Danio rerio: one gene and its partners. The protein of the gene in region 1 binds, or shares a complex with, the protein of each later gene. Links are inferred from orthologs where the notes say so. Each region holds a gene or a part of one and is shown in the gene's direction. Other genes may lie near its edges. The genes, in order: tada3l, yeats2, tada2a, taf4a, mbip, dr1 and taf12.

Region 1 (4,694 bases):
ATCCTGATTTTATAGTTTTAGATGATAATGTATAAACTGCTTTAACTGCTATAAAGCCAACATAAACATTTTATTTCACAATGATGACAAATTTAAAACTGAAACTGAATATTGAGTAGGGGGTGGGGTAACGGAGGGGTGTGGCTAAGCACATTCCACCCAAGCTGTCAAACTGACATCATCAGAAAAGCACCAACATTCCACAGCAGAAGCAACTTGTTAGATTTTAATTAATGATGACCAAAACCAAAATTTATAGTTGACATCATTACTAAGAGAGATTTACATCCTTAAAGGAATAGTTCACCCCGAAATGAAAAATATGTAATCATTTACTCATTCTTCACTTGTTCCAAACCTGTTTGACCTATATTCCTAAAATGCAAAATAAGATATTTTGAAATATATTGGAAATGTAACCACTGACTTCCTTAATATTTCTTTAAAATATAATCTGTAGTGTTTAACATAATAACGTAAATCATAAAGGTTTATAACCACTTCAGAGGGAATAATTAGTGAGTACATTTCTGAGGTGAACTATCGTTTTATGTTTTGCTCAAAAAAACAAATTTACTGTTCAATAAAAAGACTTCAGTGTATATGAAAACGTAGGAAACATGACTTCATCACAGAGGTACAGGTATACTTAATCATACAGAGCTATAATAATTTACATGACATGGTTGTATACAGTTGTCTCCATATTATTATTATTCATGAACGTATACTCGTAGTAAATACACAAAAACGTGACTGTCAGTGAGTGGAAGAGCAGTTGTGTGCTTGTCATTACAATGAGCTTCTGATAGTAATTCAGGTTGTCAATAACTATTCTTATAAATACATTTCAACAATCATATCAAATACCACATCAAACAAAACATTTATGTAGCATAAATAGTATTTAATCGAATCCATTTATTATTTTGATTCTGTTAAAGAGGATGCAAAATCCCTGACGTTAGCTAGCTAGCATAAATCAGGACAGAACACTCGATCAAATAAGCCAGAAATCAAAGCTGTTTCTCTATGCAAAATGCTTTACCGAAAAGCTTTTTCATGGGTTATTTAATTGGTTGGGCTATAATCAAAAACAATATTTGCAACTTTCGAGAATCGAAAATCTCTTACCATTTTATATGAGGTCTGTGGAGGAAGACGGAAGTCCGCACGCCACGCCTGGAGATGAGGAATCACGCCTCCATTGCGTCCTCACACTCCCGTAATTTATCTATTGAAAGAGCAATTCAGCTTAATTCTCACAAGCGCGTGGTTTAAATTTACACGAGTGGATGTCAAATTACAAAACATATGTTAATGCAAACTAAAGTTGTCACTATTATAATGTAAGAAAATAATACAGCTACTAAAACAACATAACAGTAATGTTGAAAAATCTTTTTGTTTAATTACGGTAAAGCCCAGCAGCAGTTTTTCCTAGATTCGTTTTTTCTTCCTTATATGGCAAATTACTCGACAGGTCAAATAAATTGTACGTTTATCAAACAGGGTGTAATCTATAAATATTAATGTTCCGAAATAAACATTAGCTCTTTTGTGGCTTTGAACAGTTGATTATTTTTTTGAAAATAAATACAATTTATTTCCATTCAGACGCGCTTTGGTATCGAATGTACCATTCAATGAACTGCGGTGTTGCGTTGTGAATGTCAACTGACAGGAAGCGGTATTTGTCGAATGTCGAATAATAATTTAACTATACAATATTTTAAGAAAACGTGCAACGGCCAAATTGAAGCTCTTATGATATACATTCATGTTTTTAAAATGTAATCAACGAGCTGTATCCCCCCTACTGGCATAATGGTCTAGTCAGTAATGGTTGCCCCTTCATCGGAGGTAAACAATGCTATTTTATGAATCAATTAATGCAGTATAGGAGTTGAGTTTATCGTCCTATTTCGTATTTAATCATATAGTTTAATTGTCAGCACAAGTCTTTTCATTGAAAGCTATACGCAAATATGCTGGTAAATGCTATAACCGGCTGCCTGTGCTTTGAACAGCATGGAGCTAAATTAGCTTGTAGCCGTTAGCCTACATTGGCTGCTCGTTATATCATTTATCATCTTATATGGCAATCACTATTACATAATAGAGTGAAAAATTCAATACATGTAGGATTAGATTTGTTACACACCAAACAGTATAAATAACAACACATCTCTGTTTTGTTTTTCTGTAGCTGTCCACTAGTAACGTTACCACTAGATCAAAACCATTTACAATTTGTGCTGCTCATTAATAACACTAAAAAGACAATTAGAATATACTTTTTTTAACCCTCACTTTGTTTATTATTTCATTACAGATATAGATTTCTGTAAATGCAGAGATGAGTGAACTGAAGGATTGCCCCCCATTAAAGTACTATGACTTCAAACCTGTGGACCATGTGAAAGTGTGTCCACGCTACACTGCAGTGCTCAGCCGCTCAGAGGATGATGGCATTGGCATTGAAGAGCTCGACACGCTTCAGCTGGAGCTGGAAACACTCTTGTCCTCTGCGAGCCGACGTCTCCGAGCACTGGAGGAACAGAGACAGGTGAAAACTGCTGTTTTTACACTTGTCTTTTTCACATCTTGTGCGTACACTAGTTTGGAATCAGTGGGACTTTTCAATGATTTTGACAGAAGTCTCTACTTCTCATCAAAGCTGCATTTATTTATTTATTTTTTTAAAAATAAAATGGAAGAAGAAATACAATTTGTGAGAATGTTTTATTGTAAAACAGGTGTTTTGTAATGTAGAATGTAGTGATTTTTTTCCTGTGATTGAATTAGGGCTGCACAATATATAAATTGGGTGTGTGTATAATCAGAATCAGTATCTTCCGTCCAATTCATATCCGTTTTCAAACAAAAAAGGATACTGAAGAAAAGAAAAGAAAAGAAAAAGACTTTTTTTTTTCATTTGCGAAAAAATGACATTTTGACTTGATTTTTATTTTTTTAATTTACGGTAGAAAAATGGATTAACGACTTCAAAATTCTTTATACACATGTAGGTGGTGCTGAAACGCCCTTTTTCCTCTGATTGGTCAACCAAATCTGAGCTCGTAACGTCGCCCTCAAAATAAGAGCACTCTGTGGATCAGCAGCCAGACTTTTAATTATTGTTATTTAATCATATATATAAACTAAGTTTACATATTCTGTCATTTGATCTGTTAGCAGGCCAACATTCTTTGCGTATGCCTAAATTAAAAAAAAAACATAAATTAGCAGTATTTTTAGACATTTGTCGTTAAAATAAGGCCATAGTTCGCTGACAAACGTCCTGCAGCAGCGCAACTGATGCTGAGCAAAGATAGCCATTTCCAAACAGCACCTAGTTTGCATGATTATTTCCTAACAAGGCCTATATAATAATAATGATGATAATATTAATAATGTTAATAATAATAATATTAATAATAATAATAATAATAATAATAATAATAATAATAATAATATATGCCTTTAGTTCTCCTACCAAACGTCTTGCTGCTGTGCACCTGATGCTGAGCAAAGACAGCCATTTACGAGCAGCACCTGGTTTGCATGATTGTTTCCGTGCTACTGAAGGCCTAAATAACAACAACAATAATAATAATATTTAATATTGTTCACTTACTGTTTTTATTGTTTAGTTTTTTAATAATCATTTATTATTATTATAAAAAAATATATATATATATATATATATATATATATATATATATATATATATATATATATATATATATATATATATATATTTATATATATATATTATTATTATTTTTTTTTCTAGACCTAGCCCATGGCAGGCTACGCTGAATATTTAAAATAAGTGGATTTAAATAAAATACAATAGGATCGGTGGCTGTGCACGAGCAACATCTACAGGTAGCCAACTCATTTAAAATCCGATTTCGGTTTTGATTTTGGCTTCAAACGATTATGAAAAAGCATAAATCTAGATAAATGATTATTGCATCATATACCACCATCTTTCCAGCTGTACACATGTGTTGCTCTTAAAAGCGCGAAAGACCACCTGCTTATGTGTGTGTGCGGCACACACAGTTTGTTTCATATTTCTATTCTATTGTATTTATTTCTTTTTCCTTTACAGGGTGGAAAATAACTGTATATATGTAGTTCAAGTCAGAATTATTAGCCCTCCTATTAGCATCCCTTTTCCTACCCAATTTCTGTTTAATGGAAAGAAGTTGTTTTTACTTATTTCTGAACGTAATAGTTTTGTTATCTCATTTCTATTAACTGATTTCTTTTATCTTTGCTATGACAACAGTACATAATATTTTTCTAGATATTTTTCAAAATACAAGCATTCAGATTAAAGTGTGATTCAAAGGCTTAGATGGGGTAATTAGGCAAGTCATTGTATAACAGTAGTTTCTTCTGCAGAGAATCAAAAAATAGCTTGCTTAAGGGAGCTAATAATATTGACCTTAAAATGGGTTTCAAAATATTTAAACCTGCATTTATTCTAGCTAAAATAAAACAAATGAGCCTAGAGGAAAAAAATATTTTAGAAAACACTGTTAAAATTCCTTGCTCTGTTAAACATCATTTGTGAAATTTTGACTTCAACTGATAATCGTTTTGAATAATCGTGATTACAATTATGAACTAAATAATCGTGACTAAGATCAGCCCTACACACTCATACACTACGGACA
Region 2 (3,941 bases), on another chromosome or scaffold:
ACTGGTGTACCTAATAAAGTGGCCGGTTAGTGTAAATTGTTATTATTACAATTACTAATAGTTCATACATGCACAATAAAAATCAAATAGCTATTTATATTGTTTAAATAGTTATGTTCTTAATAATTACAGTATACTTCACTGTAAGACAAATTTTATTATTAATTAGGTAATTATAATATTTAAAATATTATGCAAAAGGTCAATTCTAGTAACATGCAAAATACAGAACAGAACCAAGTCATAGTGTAGATTAAGAGAATAGTTTTTTTGTTTTATTTATTAAATTTTTTTTTCATTGTGTGCTGTGTGTGTGTGTGTGTGTGTGTGTCTTTGTTTGTGTGTGTATTAGAGTGCAGCTCGACTTTGACAGGCTGTGAAGAACTTTCTCAACGTCTAGAGCAACTTCAGAGGATCCTGAAAGCGGAGCCCGATGAGGAGGACGATGAACTGCTTGACATCATCAGTGTAAAGGAATTAGATGCCGGGAAGGTCAAAATCAAACAGGAACAGGAAGAGGCTGAACAAGAGCCCAAGTTCTACATGGGTCGCTGTCCATCGACCCAGCTCATCAGAGACACGGCGGAGCAGGTGAAAAATTATGTCTGTCTGACTGCAACCAGACTTTCTGATGGGTCTTACATGTGACGAAATGTGTGTGCTTGTGTGTGTTAGATTGGTGTGACACTCCAGCAGGTGGAGGTGGAGAAGAACGTTTTTGCTCCTGTTGTGGAGGCCATGATTCTTAAGGTAAGTAATCTGAGGTTGAGTAAGTCATATGTTTTTATTTAATTACAGAAAATTTGATTTAAAGTCATTTGAGATTCACACTATATCTGTCTTATTAATATATGTTTTAATTGCATTTAGGATTGGCTTTACTGCTGAAAAAATTAATTATTGAAAACCAGTTAGAATGCAATTGACTTTAAAGAGCTTGAACATTTAAGACAAGACACTGCAAGTGAATATGGTAAAATAATAATGATGATAATAATAGTTATTATTTATTGTTTACATTTAAGAATCATTTTATAGCAAGTTTTATTTTAAAATGCTATGTTTACAGTATATATGCCAATAAGGCAGTATTTAAAGGTGCCATATACTGCATTGGTTTAATAAGTTAAATTGTTCTCTGATTTCTACATAGTCGGTTCATGGCTTTTGCAAGTTCAAAAAATCTACAAAAGGGGTTTTATATGCTCATTTCTTACTCAGAAGGTCCATAATTGACCATATATGGTTCCTGCCATGTATATTAATGAGCCCTGCTCTGACGACCGCTTTTACAGACACACGCACACAAAGAGCATAATGTACGCTAAATAGGATAAATATAAACCTATTCAGAGAAATGTTAACCTATTTTGCTCTCCAGATCTGTTGTGGATACAGGCGTTCTGAAGTGATTTTGAACATGTCTTGTGCAGTCGTTGCCCAGTAAAGCATCGTTAACAATTTGGGGCTTGCGTTTTCAAAATAAAAGTCCCACATGCATAGTAAAAATATTAAATATAAGCTTTAAAATAGCTAAATAAGGAGGGAAACTATCATTGTTTTCTCACTAGAAAATGTTTGGCTTATCAAACATAGTTTGAGGCATTTACAGGTATATTAAAGATCTCAGAGCTACATATGAGACTCTTGATGACTTGGCTGCTTGTCAGGTTCGGACGAATGACCTTAAGTAGGCATACATGCAAATGATGAGGGCATGGCCGTGAATCTCTTTTGTGTTTTGGTTGGCCTGTTGTCAACAGGAGTTTTACACTCGTACAATTTGCATAAGAACAAGGAAACAGTGGTGTCTAAGGCTCATGGTATGCCCATTTTCACATACTAATCTCTTATTATTTGGCTATGCCTTGGTGTACCCAGATTTTTCTTTATAGGGCACCTTTAATTATTTGAAATTCTCTAATTTGCATACATTTTTAGCACAAACACATGAACATTGGATAAAGTCGTGTTTAATATTCTTGTTTAATTGTTCTTTGGCATAATGGAGTCAAAGGTCTTCACAGAGTTGATTTTTGAGTCTCCATATTTCATAAAATACAGCAAAGAGCCAGAAAAAATATATATTTTTGTAAAATAAAATGTAAAAACTTTCCACTGAAAAAAAATACAAATAAAACTGAGATTTGTTATATGTAAGTCCGGGGTGCCCAAACTCGGTTCTGAAGTGCTGGTGTCCTGCATAATTTAGCTCCAACTTCTTTTAGCACACCTGACTGAAAGTTTCTTGTATACCTGGAAAGAGCTTGATTAGCTGGTTTAGGTGTATTTAATTGGGGTAGGAACTAAAATATGCAGGTCACCGGCCCTAAAGGACTGAGTTAGGGCACCCCTGATGTAAGTGCTGCTAAGGTAGAGATTTATGGCTCAGTGCAGGAGAAAAAGCTCATTTTGAGATGTATAAACACAAATGGATTAAGCGTGACAACAGAAACACTTACAAGGGTATTTTGAATATTTTATTTAAATTAGACTGAAAAAAAAACACTTTATGAAGAGTCAAAAATAAAAAAATGTGTATGTTTTTGCCTGCAATGTATTGCGTTAAAGCAGTAAATGACTTGAATGCACCACATACTGTACTTATAAGAAAAAGAACAACACTGTTTTATTAAGTTTCAAAGAAATGATTTCTTTTTTACTTAATTTGTTTTGACCAGGATTGGACACAAACTTATAATAGATAATGCAACATGTCAAAGTTGTGAATGCTGTCTGAATGTCTCCACAGGCTGTAGAACAGTTTTCCAGTGAAATCCTCAGGGAATCGTTGGCCAATGCGCATGGGAAATCCCAACAAAACAGGTCAGTTTGTTCTTCCATATGACAATACCACATTAATCAAGACAGATGCGTAGACCGACATGACTCCGAGTTAAAGGATAACTTCCACTCTCTTCATTTTCAGGTTGAGCCGCTAGCATTATTTCTCCGTCAATTTTGATGAACTCTCGAGCAATAAAGTCTTGTCTAACGATTTTCAATCATGGCTGTGGGAGGAAGCTCTTTATGATAGTGTGTAATTATCCGAGCGCTGGGAATAGCTCATGAAAGTCCGATTTATTTGAGTTGCGGAGCTGAAGATTTCAGTCCTGGTAGAGAGAGAAAGAGGAGATTGGCTCAGTGCTGCTCCACTTACTCAGCACATCTGCTTTCATTCACATGCCCCATACACACTGTGCAGAATATTTCATCAGCCTTTTAGACAGTGTTCAGTGGCTGCTTTTTATAGAGAACCGTTTTTAAATGATCAGTCAAGCAGGACCTGATCGATGGGGCATACATTAACAGAAAGCAGCGGCCTGACAAGACTTTGAGACCTCTCATTTAATGCGCAGAGGTCAATAACCCATTATACTAAGACAGCAAATGTAGCGTGACGTTTCTTTTTGTCTTTTTCATCATCCTGTTTTCTTGTCTCCACAGAACTCCGAGAGAGATATCAGCTATGAATGTGCATCAGGCCATTTGCTCTATTCCCACCTGTGATTTTTTGACTAATAGGTAATTTTGCTCTTATTTTAGAGTTTTTTTTTTTTTTTTATATATAATCAGCGTTCCACTTTCCACATTCTACAATGGCATGAAAACATAAGAAAGTTTTAAAATTGTAAATAAAAAATAAGTAAATATAAAATAATTATTAGTACTCATGGAAATACCCCAGTAATGTTATTCTCAGGCCATATTAATTTTATTTTGCAATGTGGAAGTTTTAAAACTTCAGATTAATTTATTTTCAGGAAATGACTTGGAAAAAAAAACAGCAGTAAACGGTAAACAAACAACATTGTCGTTTTATGTGTTTATGACAATAAACAGTACTTACGGTGCATCTGGAAAGTATTCATAGCGCTTCACTTTTTCCACATTTGTTCATGTTACAGCCTTATTCCTTATTCTGGATTAAAGTCATTTAT
Region 3 (4,571 bases), on another chromosome or scaffold:
TTTGCAAAAGTCACATCCATAACGCTGGAATAGCTCAATCATGAATTTAAAACGGTTGGATGATTTTTTCACAATTTATAATAACAACAAGAATAAATGGACTTAAATACAGTGTTTTTTTTTTCAGAGGTTAAGAGACAGAGTAAATGTTATCTTTTCCTAAATTCAATTAATTTAAAAAGCTAAATGGACAATACATAAAAGTGTGCATAACTAAAAATATCAGGGTGATACTTCAAAATAATGGTCTGTTAGTTAATGTTTGTTAATGCATTTACTAACATGAACTAAGCATTATCAAATCTGTATGGCATTTTTTGAGTTCAACATTATTCATTCATTCATTTTCTTGTCGGCTTAGTCCCTTTATTAATCCGGGGTCGCCACAGCGGAATGAACTGCCAACTTATCCAGCAAGTTTTTACGCAGCGGATGCCCTTCCATCTGCAACCCATTTCTGGGAAACATCCACACACACATTCACACACACACACTCATACACTACGGACAATTTAGCTTACCCAATTCATCTGTACCGCATGTCTTTGGACTGTGGGGGAATCCGGAGCACCCGAAGGAAACCCACGCTAAGACATGGAGAACATGCAAACTCCACACAGAAACGCCAACTGTTCGACCCAGCGACCTTCTTGCTGTGAGGCGACAGCACTACCTACTGCGTCACTGCCTCGACCGAGTTCAACATTATTAAAATCTAAAGTTGTGCTTGTTAATATTAGTCAGTGCACTGTGAGTTACGTTGACTAACAATGAACAACTTTATTGTCATTAACAAACGTTAAAAAAGAGGAACAAGTACTGTAATAAATCTGTTGTTCATTAGCATTTCCTCATTTGCTCATGTTAGTAAATACAATAACCAACATTAACAAAAGGAAAAATGAAATTTCATAAAATTAAGATATTGACGGTTCATTTCGCTGTGGTAACCACGCTAAAGCAAGGAAAAGGCCAAAGGAAAGTAAAAGTAAAAATTATAATTATGTAATTTATATATCAATGTAATAACCTAATAATAATAATAATCATAATAATAATTCTAACTTTCATAGTAATCTATTAATACTAAATAATGTATAAAAACAGGATCATCCTGAAGCTGAACCATCGACATTATATAATAGATATCAATTATAAATATCTATGAGTTGAACGCCTCTTATAAAACTATGAGAAATGAATCCGTAAAAAAATACTTACGATGATTTACAGGTGGGAAAGTGATGAAAACGAAATATCTGGTCTGATATTCCTCAAGTGTCCAGTGTAAAGTAGGCTATCAGTTATACTGTAGATGATTATTAAAAGTCACTTGAGAGATCTTGACCTCACTGTAGAAAGGCTGAGCTCGCGAGTCTGTCACATATTCATGTATGTATGTATCGCGCAGGTGCCGCTGAGGGGCGCTGTGGAAGAACGTCACTTCCCCTCCTAATGTTGTTCACTGAGCTGCACAGATCGAGCAGAAGCACTGTGTTTACATTCTCAATAATGTGTTAAACAGAGCATAAGATTATGTTTTTATTCTTTGCTTTTTAACGACGAGGCATAATCGGTACAACCGCCCAGTTTAATTCAGCACAAATCACAGAAAGATCTCAATTTTTTTCCAAACGAGTGGAAGAGGAGGAGGAAGGTTTTACATTTTCCAGATCCCATCATTCATTTACAACATGGATAGACTGGCGTCATTTGGAAGTAAGTTTCTTGTTTAGTAAATCTAGTACTCTTGGGGAAACAGCCTAAATATGAAAACTAAATAGCTCTGGTATTTGATACAGAAATGTACCATAGTAAACGGATGTCAGCTAAAATGACTCTGTAAGAGCCATTTACGACGTACGTTGTATTTTGTGCCATGACAATATTTGAATTTCTCTGGAGTACATCATGTTATGATAATACACTTATTAATAACGCTTAACATAATGCATATTGCAGTACGGCATCTTAAACTGTACCATGCTGCCCCCGATTTGTAATACATATAACTTATATAAAACAAATCAGTGCATTAAAGTATAAAGTCATGATTTCTTTAAAAAAATGTGTATATATATTTTTTTATATAAATAAATAACAATAATTTAAAGTATATATATGAAATAAAATGTAGCATATGAGTTTTTTAATGTTTATTTTTTATACAAATATTTAATTTGTAAATTTATTTATTGTATTTAAAACATTTTATAACTATTTATATTGTGAGTTTAATGAATGTAGTAAATAATTCACAATGCTTTTAAGTGGAATATATGATGCTGTACCATGGTGTTGTAATTCATAAATGGTAAAACAAATTATATTAATGGTAGAAACTATAAAGTAAAATGCAGTAGCTGCAGTGCATTAACTGTAATCATACCTCAGGTGAATGTTGTATTAACCAGAAATAGTTTTAAGACCCCCTTACTGTATACTTTATGCTTCACAAATAGGCATAGGTCGGTATAAGATTCTGACGGTATGAGAACTTTGGATAAAATTATCACAGTTTCACAGTATTATTAGTGCTCTAAAATAAGTTTTTAAATGTCTGGGTGAACAACTAAAACTTTTCCACCTAGTTTGAACACAATATAGTTTATTTTGAGAAACATTTAAAATATTTTGGAAAAGTAAACGTGTCCTAAATTATTGAAATGAATCATTGACTTCTGCTGTTTTCATTAGTTTCAAAACACTGATTTCTTTACAACTTGAAAAGACATCTTCGCAAATGTTTTTCTTCTGGAGATACTGTTGTCCTAAAAAAAACAAACAAAAAAAAAACACGTAAATAAAAACCGTACAAACACCGTAGGAACGGTATAACAGAAAACTTTGGCGGTTTTAAATCATTGACTTTTCCAAACTGCGTTGTACTTTGAAACCTGTTATTGTCCCATGGCTATTCACAAATTAATGTTTTTCTTAAATATACTCTTATTTCCTTATAAACTATATATATATATATATATATATATATATATATATATATATATATATATATATATATATATATATATATATATATTCATTAAAAACTAATTATCTAATAACGTAATAATAACAGATATTTGTAATAAAATACTACATTTGATTTTGGTGGGTTATATTTTTCACTTTTCGTTATAATTCATAGTTTTTTTAATAAGTATCAGCTTTATAACATAGTAATATGTTTTGACATACATTCAAGATTAGCTAAATAAAATAAATGCTTTAAAAATAAAATAATGGTTTTCTTTCACATTTGTAGAATATTTTATAAACACAAGAAATATTAAACATTTATTCTAAGCAACAAACAATAAATCAAGTGTCATATTTGAAAATATATTGTACACTTTTGTAAAAACTGGACTTCTTGAACGTTCTGGTTTGATTAGGTACTGTTTGTGTCTTTTAATGTTATTATTTGTTTCATTTATTCATAAAGAATATTAAATTATTATTTTGTAATTTTGTGACTAGATACAGTAGCTCTAAATCACACTATTTTTTGTGATGTATAGAACAGAATTTCTTTATTTCACAGAAATTATTATTTTTACTTAAACACATACTGTACATGTGTTGTACAGTATGTATTGTATTGTGTTACAATAAAATTTATTTTTAGACATGCTTATATTTTCTCTTTTTCTGACAGCACAATACCATTTGAATTTTTGAATTCAGAAGAATTTTTTAAAAAAAAGTATTATTTGGTGTCATATCCCAGATTTTTTTTAATCACAACAAATTAAAATATTTGGATATTTTATACTAAACTTTATTACTTTGAAAATATTGGATTTGTTTAGGTAAAATTTTAAGTAAAATAAATGTTAATATTTATTTTATTTATAAAATAAATGTTAATATTTATTTTATTGGAATTGTTTTTTTTTTTTTTTCAGAAAACATCCAAAAAGGCTCTAAATGACTAAATTTTTGTTCATGAACTAAACATTATTACTCAAACCCATAGCTAAAATATCCAGTAAATCCAGAGAAACGGAATTTCTTGAGGGTTGATTTGCTGATACCTTCATTCTGTTTCTAAATTTTTTGGTCTTCAGATGATCCTTTCGATAAGCCTCCCTGTCGTGGATGTTCGTCATATCTGGTGGAGCCATACATCAAGTGTGCTGAATGTGGACCGTCCCCATTTCTCCTGTGTCTGCAGGTGCTTTCCTTCCACTGCTGTCTGAATGCATCAATCATACACTGTCACTGATCATGAAATACTCACTTTATGTTTTCATCTTTCTGTTGCAGTGTTTCACTAGAGGATATGAGTATAAAAAGCACCAGAGTGACCACAAATATGAAATCATGGTAAAGTATAGATTACAACACTTAATACATAAGATATTGGAATAAAAGGTATTTCAATGGCAACTGTTTTTTGTTGGTTTGTTTTTTGTTGTAGTTAATTTTATAGTTATAGTTTTATATTTATATAAGTATATATATATATATATATATATATATATATATATATATATATATATATATATATATATATAAGTGGTATTATATGGTAGTAATTGGGTTTACCGTAGTTATTGGGTAGGATT
Region 4 (3,941 bases), about 4.8 Mb from region 1:
GTAACAGTTGTTGGGGGCATATCTCGTATTTTAATATCCCAGTGGTGACAGGTCAAGTTTATTGATTTGCTTTTCTAACACACAAATCCTACTCTAACGCGCAGTAAGCAGATCTAATTTCTTATTTAAATATGTAAATCCAATTCATATATTTAAAATACAAGTTAATGTTTAGATTTTAAAGATATGCAAATAAGTCATATTTACATGCAACATATTATAAAATGCATCAAAATGAGTTTATATATGAAAATGATGACATATAGCCTATATTTATGAGGTCCAAGGAACATTTCCAGGTTTTGATGAATAGGTTACTATTTGTTAATACTTTACATTTGAGTACAGCAGCTTTCTTTTCACTTTTTAAGAACAGTGCCATTTTAATTCACTTTTATAAGCACATTTTAGTTTAAACGTTGATGTTTTGTTTATTTGTTACCTTTCATCACAGTACAGTGTAAATGTTCAAACTAGTTATAATGTTTAAATTGGCTGACAGTAATAGATATTTATAACAAGAAGAATTAATCTGCCACGTTTTAGATAAGAACTACTGTTGTAAACAATATAAAAGGAGATAGGATGACTATGAAAGTCTATGGATGCAAGTTTCCAGAACTCTTCAGTACTTAAAAAGTTTTGGAAGAAGTGGAGGGTGAACTATCCCTTTAAATGTTTATGTACAGTTGAAGAATTTTTAGCTCCCCTTTTGATTTATTTTCTTTTTTAAATATTTCCCAAGTTATGTTTAACAGAGCAAGAACATTTTCACAGTATGTCTGATAATATATTTTTCCTCTGGAGAAAGTCGTATTTGTTTTATTTTAGCTAAATAAAGTTACTTTAAAGCTAATAAAAGTTTAAGGTCAAAATTATTAGCCCATTTAAGCTATATAGATAGTCTACAGAACAAACCATCAATATACAATAACTTGCTTAATTACCCTAACCTGCCCAGTTAACCTAATTAACCTAGTTAAGCCTTAAAATGTCACTTTAATCTGACTACTAGTATCTTGAAAAATATCTAGTGAAATATTATGTGGTGGTGCAGTGGGTAGCATGATCACCTCAAAGCAAGAAGGTCATTGGTTCGAGTCTCGGCTGGGTCAGTTGGATTTCTGTGTGGAGTTTGCACGTTCTCCCTGTGTTTGTGTGGGTTTCCTTCTGGTCCAAAGACATGCGCTATAGGTGAATTGGGTGAGCTAAATTGTCTGTAGTATATGTGTGTGGATGAGTGTGTATGGGTGTTTCCCAGTGATGGGTTGCAGCTGGAAGGGCATCCGCTTGTGTAAAACATATGCTGGATAAGTTGGCAATTCATTCTGCTGTGGCGACCCCTGACTAATAAAGGGACTAAGCCGAAAAAAAAAATGAATGAATGAAATATTATGTTTTGTCATCATGGCAAAGATAAAATAAATCAGTTATTAGAAATGAGTTATTAAAACTATTATGTGTAGAAATGTGTTGAAAAAAATCTTCCCTCTGTTAGCAGAAATGGGTAAAAAAATTAACAGGGAGGCTAATAATTCCAGGTGGCTTATAATTCTGACTTTAACTGTATGTAGTGGTGATTTTAATGGTTTAATAATGGTTTTGTTTCCAATTAGCGTTTTGTTCAAATTTCTGTAAGCACTTTTCAGTCCTAAATGTTTTCTCTTTAGGTTAAAACAAACAGTTTTTTGTTCTTGTATTTTGACCCCAGTGTTTTGAACTTATTTTTCATTTGTGTTTTTTTCTTCTCAGGAAGGGAAGATTGAAGCAGAGGAGTTCACCAGCAGGCTCTACAAAGAGCTCAACTCCTCTCCTCAGCCTTATCTAGTGCCTTTCCTTAAGGTACAGATATTACAGTTCTTAAATCTTCAAGGACACACAATTCAATCCATTTATGCACATAGTTGTTTTACAGGTGCATGACCCAGGTACTTAAAGTGTAATTAACTCTTATTAAATGATTAATTAACCTAAGTGTCCAGTAATTGTAGAAAATCATTTAGGAGCAAACCAGGATTAATTTCACACACACAGAGCATATTGATCATGATTGAGCAGCTCTTAATCCACTTATATAATATTTATATAACATAAGCATGTAATATTTATATTATTTTTTTATTAATTTCTTAGTTTATAAGTTTCTTGTTTAGTTCTGATGACTGTAGCTGATTAAAAGATTTTTGTTTTTATTTGCATTTTTGTACCTGTAATGATTTATTACCAACTAAAAGTTGGTTAACAGGAGCGTTTTGTTGCTAGGGGTTTTATAGACTTTAATAAAACCAGAATTGTTATACAATTGTTGATCAGAAAGTGTGAGCTGCATGCAGATACATCTTAAGATTTTAAAATCTTTCCCCATCCTATAAGAATGTAGATGGTATGACCCAATAATTTCTAAATATTTTGAAAGCAAAAATATCCAATAACAGGGTTTTGTTTTTCTTACTGTATATTTACAGTATATGATAATGAAGTAATAGCACATTGAAATGATGTGTGCAGTTTTACCGGAGATGGCACAATTGTAAATGTGATAATTGATTTTTACAGTTCAACAAATAGGACGTTAATATTGAGAGAGTCACGTCAGATGCATAATTGAGAGAGACACAATATATTTAGATTATTACCTGTTTTATTAATGAAAATGATTTCTAACAAAGCCGCGAGTAGAACATTTGTTTGTCTCAGAGGATCACTTCAGTGTTTGAGTCAATCATTCATAAAAAAGAACGGTGCTTTCTGCCACTTTGGCAGTTTCATGCCTATATTTATTTATTCAGAATATTATTTAATTGTTGTTATCAGAATCTTATTAAGATTTTTTTTGTCAATGTCACACAGCCCTATTTGTTGCCCATAATGATTGTTCTCTTTCCACAGAGGAGTCTTCCAGCTCTGCGACAGCTCACTCCAGACTCTACGGCCTTCATCCAGCAGAGCCAGGCCCTCCACTCACCCACTGTGGTGTTGACCAGTCCCAACACTGCTGGAGGCACCACCGCAGCCCCTCGTACACTCACCCAGCCAGCCCTCAGCAACTCCAGTCAGACTGCCTCTCTGGTAAACACTCTTCCACATGCCTCATTTACTGCAGGCACAATGACACCGCTGGTTTGCACTGATAATTTTGTTTTTACAATTGATGTTGATGATATTTGATGTTGAAACAAACCTACATGAATACAAACCTTGTCACTTTTTGAAATCTCTGATTTAGTTATTAGACACACTCATTAATTCTGATTGGCTGGATTGGGAGCAACAGTGTGGTCAGAATGGTTTTTCAAATATTGCTGAGTGCAGCTTTAAGGCTAACAGTACATTACTGCTAAAGCAAGTGTTTAGTCTTACTCTTCGCTGATTTTATTTGTGCATAGTTTCATGCTGAAAGTCGCTCTGTGCTGTCAGTTAATTCTAAAGAATATAGTGTATGCATTTTATTGGTGCACAATATTGATGATTGAAAACAGGGTATAAAACTGTGGGGGGTTTTTTGTACATAAGACGACTTTTAAGTGCTGGTTCTTTTTAATGAACCATTCAAAAGATTTCGCTGAATAGATTTTATTTGTCTATGGTTTGTGTGTTTATGGACCATAGAACCTATAAAAATGACCAGTATTCAAGAAAGTATAATCTGAAACACTTTTTGTATAATGATGGTTTGTTCTGTACACTATCGGAAAAAAAAATAGCTTAAAGGGGCTAATAATTTTGTCCCAAAAATGTTTTTTAAGAAATTAAAAACTGCTTTTATTCTAGCCGAAATAAAACAAATAAGACTTTTTCCTGCACGAAAATATAACTGTATAACTGTCATAATAAACAAAAATATAGTTAAAATGACATAGTTTTTTTGTTTGTCGTATACAATTCCTATGGTTGACCATTTATGTGATGTGGGTAAAAGATGTGTTTCAATCCAGCTACCA
Region 5 (4,445 bases), on another chromosome or scaffold:
CTAGATATAAAGCAGTTTTTCATTGGGAATTTTAGTATTATAAAGTACTATAAACTTTTCTAACTGGTGAATGACATGATCTAGTGGGTCTCTGTCATCTTTAATGTGCGTGTTTGTGATAACAGGAGGCGTGGTTTTGGCCAGCAGTGGAGAGATTGAATTTAAAAAATATTATGCTAGCCGGTTATCATTTAGGCTGATCCCCTAATGCACATTTAATATACACTGCCTGAATTAATGTCCACAAACCAGGATTGAGGAGTCTTTTATATTATTGTACTGACATGCTGTTGTGGTGATAAAGACGGCATAATCTCTGTAATTCATTACAAACATGCACTGTTTTAAAAACTTTTTAAACTTGTAAAACTCACTCTCGATCACATTTGATGATGACTGATGATCACAGAAAGCTGAACAGATCTTTTAATCCCAGTTGCTTTGCACACTTTGTGCCTTGTTGATATGATTATGCGTATTACTACTAATACATGTTAGTACGCGGCTGTCAATCAATTCGGTGGACAGGGAAACCGCCCTCCTATGTCACGATGCGGTGGGCCTCAAAATAGGAGGGATTTAAATCCTATTTTAACATTAAGAAATTTTTTAAAAAGAGACCTATTGTCTTTATATCACCTTAATATGACTGTGGACACACACTATACCTATACACAGTTCTGTCCAAACAGATTAGAAAATATTATTTTCATCATAGGTGCCCTTTAAAATTATATTTTATGCAGATATGCTCCACTACACAATAACTCAATTTTAGCAAGCTATTCATCTGGTGAAATTGCATTTATATCGCAATATATATCACAGTGAATGAAAATATTGCAATGTCAGTTTTTTCCAATATCATTTAGGCATACATTTTTTATTTACAGGCCTTTACCTTTAACGTTACACAACCTTTTGAACCCTATTTGTTTGTCTGGGTGTGTGTATTTTTAAATAGCTTTTTAAAGAATGACATGAAATGATCAGGTAAATGCATTACCCTTGGCATATACATAAAAACCCGTTTCATTTTAGTCATATTGATAAATTGTAATGTTAAATGCGATTTAAAAACACAAAAGGGTGAAACAGAAGATTGTTTTGTGACGGACAAAATAATAAACATTAAACACGGTCAATGTCAATATTTAAACTATCGAAATAAAGTAATTTACCTTCGTTTATATTTGCAGTAGTCAATTTTAAATGCTCGTTATTTTGCTAGCGGAAGTGAGGTCATGTTATGCAGGAGACCGTTGGTCCAATCAGCGCAGCAGCCGGGAGCGGAAGAATGATGGCGGCGGACGGCGAAAGACGCGGTGCGTGTGCTGCAAGTAAACAAGAGCAAAGCAGAAGCCAGATTTCACTTCATGCAAGACAAAGGGATGCTTTCAGAGACTGCGTTGCCTCTATTGTCGACTCCCTCGCTGAGCTTGGAGTAAAGGTTTGTTTAAAAGCAAATTCTGCCACGGTGTCACTGTTTGGGATAGAGCTCTTAACAGTCATATTTGTAACGTTATTTCATTTGAGATGCCAAAAGCTAAATATGTAACGTTAAATTATGGAACTTTTCCGAAGTAACAAGATCACCCATGTCGTAAAATTATATGATTTGTCCGCGCTAATATGATTTGTTTCAATCACTTAGATAATTTGTCTGTACTTGTCTGCAATAAGTTGTAATATGCAATATTTCCACTGTCACTGCTGAAATAATCAGCCTGTCCTGGAGTTTTTATAATGGTCTCATATGTTTCTTTTCTGGATTTTTATTCAATTTTTAGCTGGTTTTACTCCCTGCCTCCCCAGCTGACAAGTGCCTAAAATCTTACTACTCATTTAACAAACCATATTGACCAGCGAAATAAACCACCTAGTCTGTTTTAGGCATCTTTTCTGCATTGACAATTTAGAAACCACAACAACAACAAAAAACTGTCTTATTTTCCAGTTAAAAATAGATGATAACGCATTGAAAATCAGTGCCAATGTCAACAATGTGAACATCTGTGAGCTTCAGCCATCTCATGTGCACTCCTGTTTACAACAGCACATCTCCAAACTACAGGTAAACAGAGTCATGTGCATTATAACATTTACTAACACACATAGCTGATTTTTTAAGTATAAAGATATCTTCTGAACCTTTAAATAGATCTTGTAAGTGAATTTTGTTTGCCATTTATTTGTTTACTTATCTGTAATGAACCTTATCCAGAGAATTGGTGAACATTTGTTTCCACAATGGAATAAAAAATTAAACCCATTATGTCACAATTGTAATTCAGAGAATATCATCAGTATTGCCAGAAGGAAACATGATATATTATTGGTGGAAAAGTCAGAATTTTATAATGCTATTTAATATTTTATCTTGCATTTTGACTTTTTATGTTAGAATAGGGACTTTATTGCCCACAAATCTTCATTTGTATCTCACATTTTTGATAAAACGTTTAAATTACAAGATATAAATTATTATAAACGAAGTCAAAACCATTTGAAACCCTGAGATGCAGAGTAACAATACTGAAAATAGTCAGAATTACGAGATAATGTTCATCATTTTCAGTTGCAAGTATCAAATCACAATGCGTTGAAGAAAAGTCACAGTTATCCTTACTTATTTGTTTTTTCTTTGGTGGAAACAAGCTTTTGCTGCAATGTTTTTATTTTATGAAATTAAGGCTTTGAGGGATAGAAAGTAAGTGCACTCTTTTAGTTGATCATTAAAATATATAAAATACATAGTACTGACTCATGTTTATTTATAATTAATCACATCCAAATTCAAAGCTTGTGTGTGTGTGTGTGTGTGTGTGTTTGTGTGTATGCATGTATGTATGTAAGTGTGTGTGTGTGTTTGTGTTCGCGTGTGTGTGTGTGTGTGTGTGTGTGTGTGTGTGTATATATATATATATATATATATATATATATATATATATATATATATATATATATAAATATATATATATATAAATATGCTATTTATTAAATTTTTTTGAGAAAATGTTTATTTACATTTACATATAAAATATATATAATATTTTTTATTGTAAAATTAAGTTTTATGTATATGTGTGTTTTAAATATGCATACTACACACACACATATATATTATGTTACAACGTATTTATATTTTGGTCACGGTTTACTACGATTAATCGTTGCCCTGCACTATTAAATTCATATTATGCAAGTGGAATAATGTTGTTTCCTGAATAATGTTCTTAAAATGTAAATATGTTCAGTGTTTTTTGCAAAACAAAAACTGACAGGGCAAAATGAATCCTTTGTCCTTCAAGATGGTTCTCTGATTAGCTTATCAGCGTTTTTTTTTTTTTTAAATGTATATGACCAGCATTACTGCACATTATCTTCTGACTCCTTGCTAAGACACAGTTTATCATTATAAAGACACTGTAAGACTGTCTTTTACCACATTGTTTTTTTTTTATTAACCTTCTGCTTCTAGTCGGTCTCTGAGAGTTTGAAGCAGATAGTGGAGTCTGAGGCAAATAACTGTACAAGTTCCAACCCAGACATCGGTGAAAGGAAAGAAACTGCACATACATCTGAGCAGATGTTTACTGATGATCCTCTTACATCTGACCACTGTGCTGCCCTTGAGGATCGAAACAGGACTCAAATCGATGATAACGTGCAGATCAAGGCTGCTAAATCAGAGGTAAATTTATCACTTCAAAATGTAGGCATATTTTACACAAATCACAGTTGTATTTATTGGAATATTTAAACAAGTAAGTGATCATATGAATATTTACAAATTGGGGTAAAACGTAGTGGTTTTGAAGGATAGTTGCAAAATATAAAGATTAAAAATGACAATTAATGACAATTTTTTATTATTATTATTATTATTATTTTTTTTTGGAGCATCCGTTATGTAGTGTTTTTATATGTCATCAAATGATTCCTATTCGAAATATGTTTGGCACCGATGACGTAGTGGTTAGTGCATCAACAAATGCACTCACGGCGGTGATCACGGCGACCTGAGTTCGATTTCCACCTTGAGGTCCAATGCCGACCCTTCCTCTTTCTCTCTGCTCCCCATGCTTTCTTGGTAATAGTCTCTACTGTCCTGTTTGTTGATAGTAAAAACTCTGAAAAAATTATTATTAAAAAAAGAAATATGTCTGGCAAAGTTGTTTTGATACATAAACCATTGTTTCAGTGAATTAAATTTTAGTGTGCATCTTCTAAAAATCTTAATAAAATGTGCTTTACATTATTTTAATAACGCATTTTAATTAAGAAAAATATTACCCTTTTATTTTCTAATCAAATCAAATCTAACCAAATAATTTTGTCATAATATTATAAAACATATATATATATATATATATATATATATATATATATATATATATATATATATATATATATATATATATATATATATATATATATTTTTT
Region 6 (4,579 bases), on another chromosome or scaffold:
CTCACTCGTATGAATATGCTAATGACTCTACTTTGGCAAAACCCAACGAAAAAGCAAAGGCAAAAGCAAGAAAAAAGAGAATCTTTGAACAGAATGTGAATTGAAGGTGCTGCTTTCGGAGGTAGACCGGAGGAAAACTGTGTTATTTGCAAGTTTGTCCTCCGGAATTAACAACAAAAGAAAAAATAGAGTGGGGAGAGTTTAGCTGATGCGGTTAACACAGTTGGATCTGAACAACGCACTGTGGAGTTAAAAGAGAAATAGTGTGATTTATAGGTGTAAAATGTTGTAATACCCTTAATAGTCTCAGTGGCACAGATCGTAAAACGCAAGGTAGCATGTTTTGACACGTTCGAGCATGAACTCGGTTCGAATCCAGCGTCTGATGAACTCATTCTTCTTTTTTTTCCAGCATATCAGATTTTGCCTACTATTTATCACGAGAAAGACAAGTAGGAATCATTAATAAGTATGTGCATCATATTTTATTTGCACATTTATTGAATGGAAATGTTTCTGATTCATGCGTGCAAATTCATCTTCAGTTGGTGCCTTTATAGCAATGTGCGTGAAGTAGATCGCCCCCACTACAATGGGAAAACAGGCGACCGCTGCAAATTGCTCTTTAATGTTTGGCTGGTCAACTGTATGTTATGGAAATCTTATATACCTGCTAGATGAACCCGTCTCCTACAGCTGCCATTGCAAGGCTCAAAGACACTTTGTAGAGTGCAATTTAACACAACTGTCGAGTCGCCAATGGAAATAAAACAGACACGCACAAAAAATGTGCGTACGCCAGCCATAAAGCTGGCGTGGAGCCGCGCACATTCCCACGTTCAGTTCATCGTTAGTAAATCCAAACGTGAGCGATTCTGAGCGTGAAACCTGGCGTATGCAAAGTTTTTGTGCATACGCAGCGTTGATACATGAGGCCCCAGGACTGTATATTTCCCTCCCCTCAAAAACAGTTAAGTTTGGTATCTTTGAAAACAAAGAATTTTCATTTTGCTGTCATTGTTCTATTATGCTTGGGAAAAATCTTTATTCACAAATGCAGATGGTTCAAATCTACTCCTTTAATCAGTGAATGAGGTAAAACTTTTGTGCGAATCTGTAAAATTGTTGAATGATAAAAAAGCCCATAACCTCATCTATTTTTGGGATTTTTATAAGCTAATTTAATTTTCTAAGCTCCTTTATTATTTTATTGCAATTCATTTAACAAAAACTGGTCGTTTTATTCTTTCGATGTATATTGTGTTTGCCTATTTTATTACTCAACCTTGAGATGACAGTATGGAATATTGTAAATATGTTCCATTTTATTTGTATGTTCAGCTTGAAACAATAAAAAAAGTTTTTGCCAGTTTGTTTTTTTAGCAGAAAACATGCGCATAAATTGTAACATCATTTTTGTACAGTAGGCGGCAATGCCGAGCAACACCACGAAACAATAACAAGCAGAAGAATTACCGGATATCCGGGAGTGTTGCATTGTGGGGTTCGTTTCGTTGATCGCTAACCGAGCGGGTGAAGTAATGAATTAATAGATTCGGGTGCTTAAAACATTCCTCCCCGTGCTTTAGTCTAATAAGCGCGGGATCTGTTCAGTTACCCAGGCGGCTCGAGAATGAATGTTTGGAGTTGAATCATGATTATAAACGTGCACAGCAAAAGCAGCAGCACTGATGTGTGGATGTGGAGAGTCAGCGTAAACTGATCAAACCGAAAGGTACCGACTCTCATCCTCCTCCCTTCCTTGTGCCAAACACTCACAGTCTTTCCGACGTCTTCGGATTTTCAAATGTGTTCACGTGTGTGTATTCCCAGCCTTTCGTGATCTGCTCCGAGAAAACCGACCGCACCATCTGAGTCTCCACACAAAGCCGCCGCTGCTGTCGGTGTTTTATCATCAACAAAGCCGTTGAGCCTCCTCTCCTGGTTTGACTCCTTCAAACACAGAAGCGTCTCGGCTGCTCATCCCTCATGGCATCTTCTTCGGGGAACGACGATGATCTGACCATCCCGAGGGCGGCGATCAATAAAATGATCAAAGAAACGCTTCCCAATGTGCGGGTAGCGAACGATGCCAGAGAGCTGGTGGTAAACTGCTGCACAGAGTTCATTCACCTCGTCTCATCAGAGGCCAACGAGATCTGCAATAAATCAGAAAAGAAAACTATATCCCCGGAACATGTTATAAACGGTCAGTATGTCACTTCTGTTCAATGCTGTGAGATTCCAACAACAAATTGTTCGTTTCTGCACTTAATTCATTCAAAGCTTTTGTAATAAGGCGAATCGTTTATTCAGAGTTATAGTAACGTTACTTGTAGAGGTAAAGTTAGTTTTATATTCGCACATTCGTTCATTTAGCAGTCCCTATATTGTTTACCATCCTGCCTTGAATATTCAATCGGAATTAGCATGGAAATATGACTTCTAAACAACATTTACACTATCTGTGTGAACAGTGTTGTACTTTAATAGTCATTTGCTGCTAATATGATTTCCCTATTTAGAATTAGCAAAGAATACTTTTCTGAAATGTTATTATTAAGGAGAATGTCTAAATATATCCAAATATAAAACCAACTTTACCTCTATATACTACTTTTGATTCTGATTGTCTGATGAACATTCTAAGGTGTGCAATTATTTTCAGTTTTCAATTATTTAAACGGCTAAAGCAGTTCCAGACAGCATTATAGTTCAATATCATTATGCTGAATGGTTTCACAAGCTGCAAGTGTCACAAATCAAATAATGAGTTGGTATGCACAAGACTTTAGTAGTTTAACACACAAGAGCTGTTTAATGGAAAAAACCTCTCAAATGTCTTAAATTACGTCTTTCAGTCTGGAAACCATAGTACAAGTGGAATAATTTACTCTGGTTTATTCATTAAATTAGAAAATAATGCACATCTGCTTTGCATTGTGGCCGCATCACCACCTTGGTTGTGCATTATTTTTGAATAATTAAATACGCATGGGCTGGTGTAAGATTCTGACTATATGATAACCTTTGATAAAAATTGCACGGTTTCATGGTATTGTGATTACTGCTCTAAAATAATATATTCTTTTTAAATGTCGGGGTAAAACAAAACAAAAAAATCCCTTTTGAACACAATATATTTTATGTTATGAAACATTTAAAATATTCTGGAACAGTAAACTTCAGACTAAATAATTCAAATGAATCATTGACTTCTGCTGTCTTCACTTATTTCAAAAACACATTTTTTTTTTACAGTTAAAAACAGCATCTTTGGATATCTTTTATGCTGGACAAACTGTTGTCCAAAAAAAAGCAAGAAAAATGTAAATAAACAATCTTACACATCACCTTAGCAACAGTATTGCAAAAAAATTTGATGGTTTTAAAACCTTGACTTTTTCATACCGCGGTATACCTTGAAAATGGTTATCATTCTATGCCTAAATTCAATGGTCTATTGTAAATTATTCCTTGTTCAATTGGTCTGCAAGTGGTCTTGAGACGCTTGAAAATAAATGATGCGGTGGTTTATGTAGGACTGGGCAGTATGGCCATGTTAATATGCTAAAATTGTTTACATCAGAGTCAGTATCAATAATTATCAAAATAAAATGTCTATTTCTTTAGTTAAAGTGCAGATTATAGCCTCTGGGAGAAAGTTCCAAAAACCAGAATAGTAAATTGTAAAACTAAATTTTATTGTCAAAGATGACAAACATCCAACCTAATGAGCAAGACCCTTTAGCATGTGAACATACAAACAAACTCGAGCAGCTGTTTGTGCTAATGGATAAACAATCTATGTTGTGCAAAGGAACAATGCAGTTATGATATGCTAATGTATTCCACTATTATGTTAAACATTTATAACGTGTTGTTTTACAGAGGGAAAAATTATTACAATAAATATGGTTTTATCGCCAAGCCCTAGGTTTGTGGTGAGAAAACAATTCACCTTAAACAGGGGTCTCAAACTCGCGGCCCGCGTGCCATTTGCGGCCCTCAGTGCAATATTTTGTGGCCCGCGCCGACCGCTGATTCTATCCGTACACAGCGGTCACTGGCATTCCCCGCCTGCCGTGTAAACAAAGGGGCGGGGATGCTGGTGACGTCACCACGCACCCCGCCCCTTTGTTAGACGCTGTGACGGGCGGGAAGTGTTGATTTTTACTTCTGAGTCAAACACCGGCGTAGGCTACGTCGCTGACGCATAGCCCTTCGCCGTGGCCGTCGCCGTCACTGACGTGCACCTCTCAAAAATTGTAACTACACGTTGTAACGACGCGTAGCGCAAGCTCTGTGATTGGTCGGCTTGCTAGCGCCGACGAGTCTGGGCGGGACCGAGAGCCGCGAGAATGGCGCGAGCGATTGTTTACAAGTGTGGAGTCCTGTGAAGGAGCTCCGGATGGAAAGTTTTGTTCTGTGTTTACCTCATGGTAAAAGTTATTGCACGTCCGCCGGTTCCTGCCTCAAAATGAGCGAGTTTGAGTCACTTGTACATCCAGGAAGTGTTCAGAATAGCAAAACAGAAGCGAAGAAACTCGACACAGAGGAACATTTACACCTCACTGCC
Region 7 (4,098 bases), on another chromosome or scaffold:
ATTGCAACTGTATATTAGACCTGAAATATCTGTTTTTGTCAGTTCAAGAATTTAAACTATACTATATTTGTACTATAATGCATTATAGTGTGTGTGTGTGTGTGTGTGTGTGTGTGTGTGTGTGTGTGTGTGTGTGTGTGTGTGTGTGTGTGTGTGTGTGTGTGTGTGTGTGTGTGTGTGTTTTTTTACTATATTTGTACTATAATTCATTATATTTTTTATGAAGAATGCATTGATTTTGTCAAATTCAAATAACAATAACACTATTACAACAACAACAACAACATCAAAAAATAAATAAGTGTTTTTTTAAATGCTGCTTTGTTTATCAAATGATGCATAAAAAATTAAAGATGATAAAACTAACATACTTGAGCACAGACTCAACAAATTCAGAATGATTTCTGAAGGATGAAAAAAATGAAGATTAGTTGAGTAATGCCATCACAGGAATAAATGACATTTTTACATTTTATAATTATTGTTATTATTTCATTACTTTTATTAGCGATTACAGCCTAAATGAAAAAGAACAGTAGAAGGATATGCTAACATTACTGTTACTACAGTGTTGTCTGTTGACCATTTGTTTCAGATGCTGTTGCAGATAGCTGATGACTTCATTGAGAGCGTGGTGACTGCTGCATGCCAACTGGCCCGACACAGGAAGTCAAGCACTCTTGAAGTAAAAGACGTCCAGCTACACCTTGGTGAGGATCTTAAATGATCATTTTATCCATGGACTTGAGTGCTTCATTTGAATACATTTGAATAAGTACACTTTTAAAAGGGTAATTCACTCAAAAATGGAAATGTATTCCTTATTTACACTAAAAGAGATATTTTAACAAAAAGATGAAAACCAGTGAAACAGAGGCCAGCAAAGTGAAGTGCTATGCTGGTTCAATGGGTTGGGTGCAGTAGGACCGGTGGGCTACAGATGGGGGCTCGTCCAGGATGGGAGTGAGGTTTAAGGGGCTGACTGTAACGAAGGCCAGCTAGTGAAGTGCTACGCTGGTAAACCTCACTCTTCTGACCTATAAAGGTGCTTTATCAACAGACGCTAGAGGTCATGGTCTTTAGCCTCCTTGTTAGAGCAACCGACTCCCACACAAAGAATCGCTGGTTAGATCCCAGCTCAGAGCGAGTTGGGTGCTATAAGACTGGTGGGTTACACTTGGGGGCTCGTCCGGGATGGAAGTGAGGTTTAGGGGGTGAGTGTAACGAAGGCCAGCTAGCAAAGTGCTAAGCAGGTAAACCATATTCCTCTGAACCTCTAAAGGTGCTCTAAGGACAGACGCTAGAGGTCATGGTCTCCTTTTTAGAGCAACCAACTCCCATACAAAGAATCGCCAGTTCGATCTCAGCTCAGAGCAGGTTGGGCGCAGTAGGACTGGTGGGTTACATGTGTAACCATTGACTTCCATAGTAAGAGAAATGCCTAATATGATTGTCAGTGGTTAGAGTTTTCAGACTTTCTTCAAAATATCTCCTTTTTTGTTCAACAAAAGAAAGAAAGTAATAAATGTTTGGGAACACTTGAGAAGAGTTTTTTATGCAAACTATGTCTTTAAGGGTATTTTATAGTCGTTTAATAAGTGACATGTTTTTCTTCTTATTTTAATACCGTTTGAATAATTAAACTTAAAGGGATAGTTCACCCAAAATGGAAATTTATTCACTGTTTACACTAAAGAAGATATTTTGAAGAAAGCTGAAATCGCTAACTTCCATAGTAAGAGAAATAAATACAATTTAAGTCAATGGTTACAGGTATCCAACTTTCTTCAAAAGATTTCTTTTTGTGTTCAGCAAAATCAAGAAAGTCATAAATGTTTGGGACCACTTGAGAATAAATAAATAAATGATGACAGAATTTTCAGTCTTGAGCAGACTATCCCTTTAAGGGTATTTCATAGTGATTAATGAGTGACATGTTTTTCCTCTTATCTTAATACCGATTGAATAATTAAACTTAAAGGAATAGTTCACCCAAAAATAGAAATTTATTTACTATTTACACTAAATAAGATATTTTGAAGAAAGCTAAAATCGCTTCAGTTTTAGGCAAACTATCCCTTTAAGGCTGTTTTATAGTTTGAGTTAGATGTTTTTCTTCTCATTTAAATACCATTCAAATGAATTATCCCACATAGTTTGAATGTCTATTTTTAAGAACTGTCCTCTTGTATAGTGAGTATACTAAATTTTCAATTTCCAGAACGACAGTGGAACATGTGGATTCCTGGTTTTGGCTCAGATGAGATCCGACCGTATAAGAAGGCTTGCACCACAGAAGCTCACAAACAGGTCAGCCATGCACTAAAACCGATCACCTAAAGATGATTTTGAACAATCACTTCACTAAATATGATTTCTGTTCTTTCAGAGAATGGCACTGATCCGCAAAACAACCAAAAAGTAGCAAGATTGGAATCACCAACAAACTTTATTTCCCTGCAAGTTTTGGAAAGTGGAGAGGGTTTGAACCTATACATGTCATGGTAATCAAAGGGGCAAAAAAAATGCGATGTACTGTTTGCAGTACAGTTCTGTTGACATTTCGCGTTTTGGAAGGTGCACAGAAATTATTGTAATTTGTCTGTACAGTTCACTTTGCGTTAAAACCACCACGTGAACGTTTTGTTTTGGGCACCTTGGTGCTATCCTGGGGTTTTATTATATAATAGAATCCCTCAAAGCTCTGCTAAAAACATAAATTGTTTTATTATATTACCCACAATCCACATTTTCCTTTCATATATCTCTTGTATAGACTCTTTATGCAGTCATAGATCTTTTGCTGAGCTGGCATTAGAAGCTATGCACATTTACAATCATCATGTGTCTGATTTGTTTATAGTGTTTGCTGTTCTAGAATTCGTCAATTAAGTAATATCTAGTGCTATAGAGGAATCCCTAGCGTGGTACTTTTTGAAGGTAAACCAGAGAGATGATTACCACTTCCCTGTGTAATTAATTGCATTGGAACTAGTGAAATAATCCAAATCTTAATTGGTTTAGAGAGGGATATATATGTGTGATGGTGCGCAAACCCCTTCTGCTGTGGGTTTGCGGGCAGGTTTAAACCTTTTTGTGGAGTTTTTTTTTGGTCATGTATCACAGTGTTTTACAGTCTCCTGTTTTTCATGAATAAAAAAAAAAACTAATTGTGATTTATTCACACCAAAGTCAGTCAGGTTGTGTATGACATTATTACAGAAATGACTGGAAAAAAATAAAAATAAAAATAAAATAAAATATATATATATATATATATATATATATATATATATATATATATATATATATATATATATATATATATATATATATATATATATATTTCTACAAACCTTTACAAGTTAGTATACCTTTAATAAATCTTCAGGATAAGCTCTTAAAGGTGCAGTATGTAAGTTTGACACCCAGTGGGGTGAATTAGGTAGTGCGCTCCTGGTTCAAAACATACGCAAGGGCAGGTTGCCAGATTGATGACACCAACAGCAATGTGCCTGACTGTCGAGCCTAAAGGCTTACTTAAACTGTTCTAAATAAAAGCAACTGCACTCGATACAAGGAGTATTTTCAGGGCTTGACGTTGACTTTTTTGATCACCAGCTACTGTGGCTAGTAATTTTCCTACGTTACTAGCCACTTGCCATTTTCGCTAGCCACATTTTTGCTGGTGGGAAAATATATTTTATATGCATAAATTTGACTTTGACATGCTAAAATTATTTGATTTAGACTTTTTGTTATGTCCACATGCCTCCTTGTTCATTTCACTTTTTTGTTGTTGTGTATGAACTCATGATGTGCATGAGCAAATAAGTTATGGCTTCATAGTGTCGCATTGCAATTAGTTTTTATTTCACATGACTTTTCTGGGCTCAACACTAAGGATTTACCAAATTTATCTCTGACCACACCAAAAATAAATAATTATTTCATAGCCATTAATTTTAGATAATATGTCAAAACAAGCAAAATATAGCTATATACATGCACTTTTTGATTCAACAAAACTTTTCTTAAAAAAACAAAAAAACAATTGACATTTTAAAAAGAATTATTGGCATGTATCTAAAACTATCT

The links.
Region 2: tada3l (region 1) and yeats2 share a complex: the UniProt entries of both Homo sapiens proteins name them as parts of the ADA2A-containing complex. The link is inferred for Danio rerio from reciprocal best matches to the Homo sapiens genes TADA3 and YEATS2.
Region 3: tada3l (region 1) and tada2a share a complex: the UniProt entries of both Homo sapiens proteins name them as parts of the ADA2A-containing complex. The link is inferred for Danio rerio from reciprocal best matches to the Homo sapiens genes TADA3 and TADA2A.
Region 4: tada3l (region 1) and taf4a share a complex: the UniProt entries of both Homo sapiens proteins name them as parts of the TFTC-HAT complex. The link is inferred for Danio rerio from reciprocal best matches to the Homo sapiens genes TADA3 and TAF4.
Region 5: tada3l (region 1) and mbip share a complex: the UniProt entries of both Homo sapiens proteins name them as parts of the ADA2A-containing complex. The link is inferred for Danio rerio from reciprocal best matches to the Homo sapiens genes TADA3 and MBIP.
Region 6: tada3l (region 1) and dr1 share a complex: the UniProt entries of both Homo sapiens proteins name them as parts of the ADA2A-containing complex. The link is inferred for Danio rerio from reciprocal best matches to the Homo sapiens genes TADA3 and DR1.
Region 7: tada3l (region 1) and taf12 share a complex: the UniProt entries of both Homo sapiens proteins name them as parts of the STAGA transcription coactivator-HAT complex. The link is inferred for Danio rerio from reciprocal best matches to the Homo sapiens genes TADA3 and TAF12.

Annotation. Positions count from the first base shown.
Region 1 is NC_133186.1:18,274,308-18,279,001, forward strand, and holds the start of tada3l (transcriptional adapter 3), read left to right. Parts: upstream 1-1,838; 5' UTR 1,839-1,905; exon of another isoform or gene 1,906-1,994; intron 1,995-2,335; 5' UTR 2,336-2,359; coding exon 2,360-2,569; intron 2,570-4,694. Other genes in the region: arpc4l (actin related protein 2/3 complex, subunit 4, like), read right to left, coding at 1,135-1,137. UniProt on the Homo sapiens protein: Functions as a component of the PCAF complex. The PCAF complex is capable of efficiently acetylating histones in a nucleosomal context. The PCAF complex could be considered as the human version of the yeast SAGA complex.
Region 2 is NC_133177.1:47,842,342-47,846,282, forward strand, and holds part of yeats2 (YEATS domain-containing protein 2), read left to right. Parts: intron 1-352; coding exon 353-591; intron 592-675; coding exon 676-750; intron 751-2,752; coding exon 2,753-2,826; intron 2,827-3,447; coding exon 3,448-3,525; intron 3,526-3,941. UniProt on the Homo sapiens protein: Chromatin reader component of the ATAC complex, a complex with histone acetyltransferase activity on histones H3 and H4. YEATS2 specifically recognizes and binds histone H3 crotonylated at 'Lys-27' (H3K27cr).
Region 3 is NC_133190.1:18,215,246-18,219,816, forward strand, and holds the start of tada2a (transcriptional adapter 2-alpha), read left to right. Parts: upstream 1-1,455; 5' UTR 1,456-1,694; coding exon 1,695-1,719; intron 1,720-4,070; coding exon 4,071-4,177; intron 4,178-4,269; coding exon 4,270-4,329; intron 4,330-4,571. UniProt on the Homo sapiens protein: Component of the ATAC complex, a complex with histone acetyltransferase activity on histones H3 and H4. Required for the function of some acidic activation domains, which activate transcription from a distant site. Binds double-stranded DNA.
Region 4 is NC_133186.1:23,068,520-23,072,460, reverse strand, and holds part of taf4a (transcription initiation factor TFIID subunit 4), read left to right. Parts: intron 1-1,752; coding exon 1,753-1,842; intron 1,843-2,889; coding exon 2,890-3,069; intron 3,070-3,941. UniProt on the Homo sapiens protein: The TFIID basal transcription factor complex plays a major role in the initiation of RNA polymerase II (Pol II)-dependent transcription.
Region 5 is NC_133192.1:40,162,932-40,167,376, forward strand, and holds the start of mbip (MAP3K12-binding inhibitory protein 1), read left to right. Parts: upstream 1-1,285; 5' UTR 1,286-1,297; coding exon 1,298-1,450; intron 1,451-1,957; coding exon 1,958-2,074; intron 2,075-3,481; coding exon 3,482-3,694; intron 3,695-4,445. UniProt on the Homo sapiens protein: Inhibits the MAP3K12 activity to induce the activation of the JNK/SAPK pathway. Component of the ATAC complex, a complex with histone acetyltransferase activity on histones H3 and H4.
Region 6 is NC_133181.1:26,454,121-26,458,699, reverse strand, and holds the start of dr1 (protein Dr1), read left to right. Parts: upstream 1-1,484; 5' UTR 1,485-1,989; coding exon 1,990-2,209; intron 2,210-4,579. UniProt on the Homo sapiens protein: The association of the DR1/DRAP1 heterodimer with TBP results in a functional repression of both activated and basal transcription of class II genes.
Region 7 is NC_133191.1:38,665,783-38,669,880, reverse strand, and holds the end of taf12 (transcription initiation factor TFIID subunit 12), read left to right. Parts: intron 1-595; coding exon 596-710; intron 711-2,221; coding exon 2,222-2,310; intron 2,311-2,389; coding exon 2,390-2,425; 3' UTR 2,426-3,195; downstream 3,196-4,098. UniProt on the Homo sapiens protein: The TFIID basal transcription factor complex plays a major role in the initiation of RNA polymerase II (Pol II)-dependent transcription.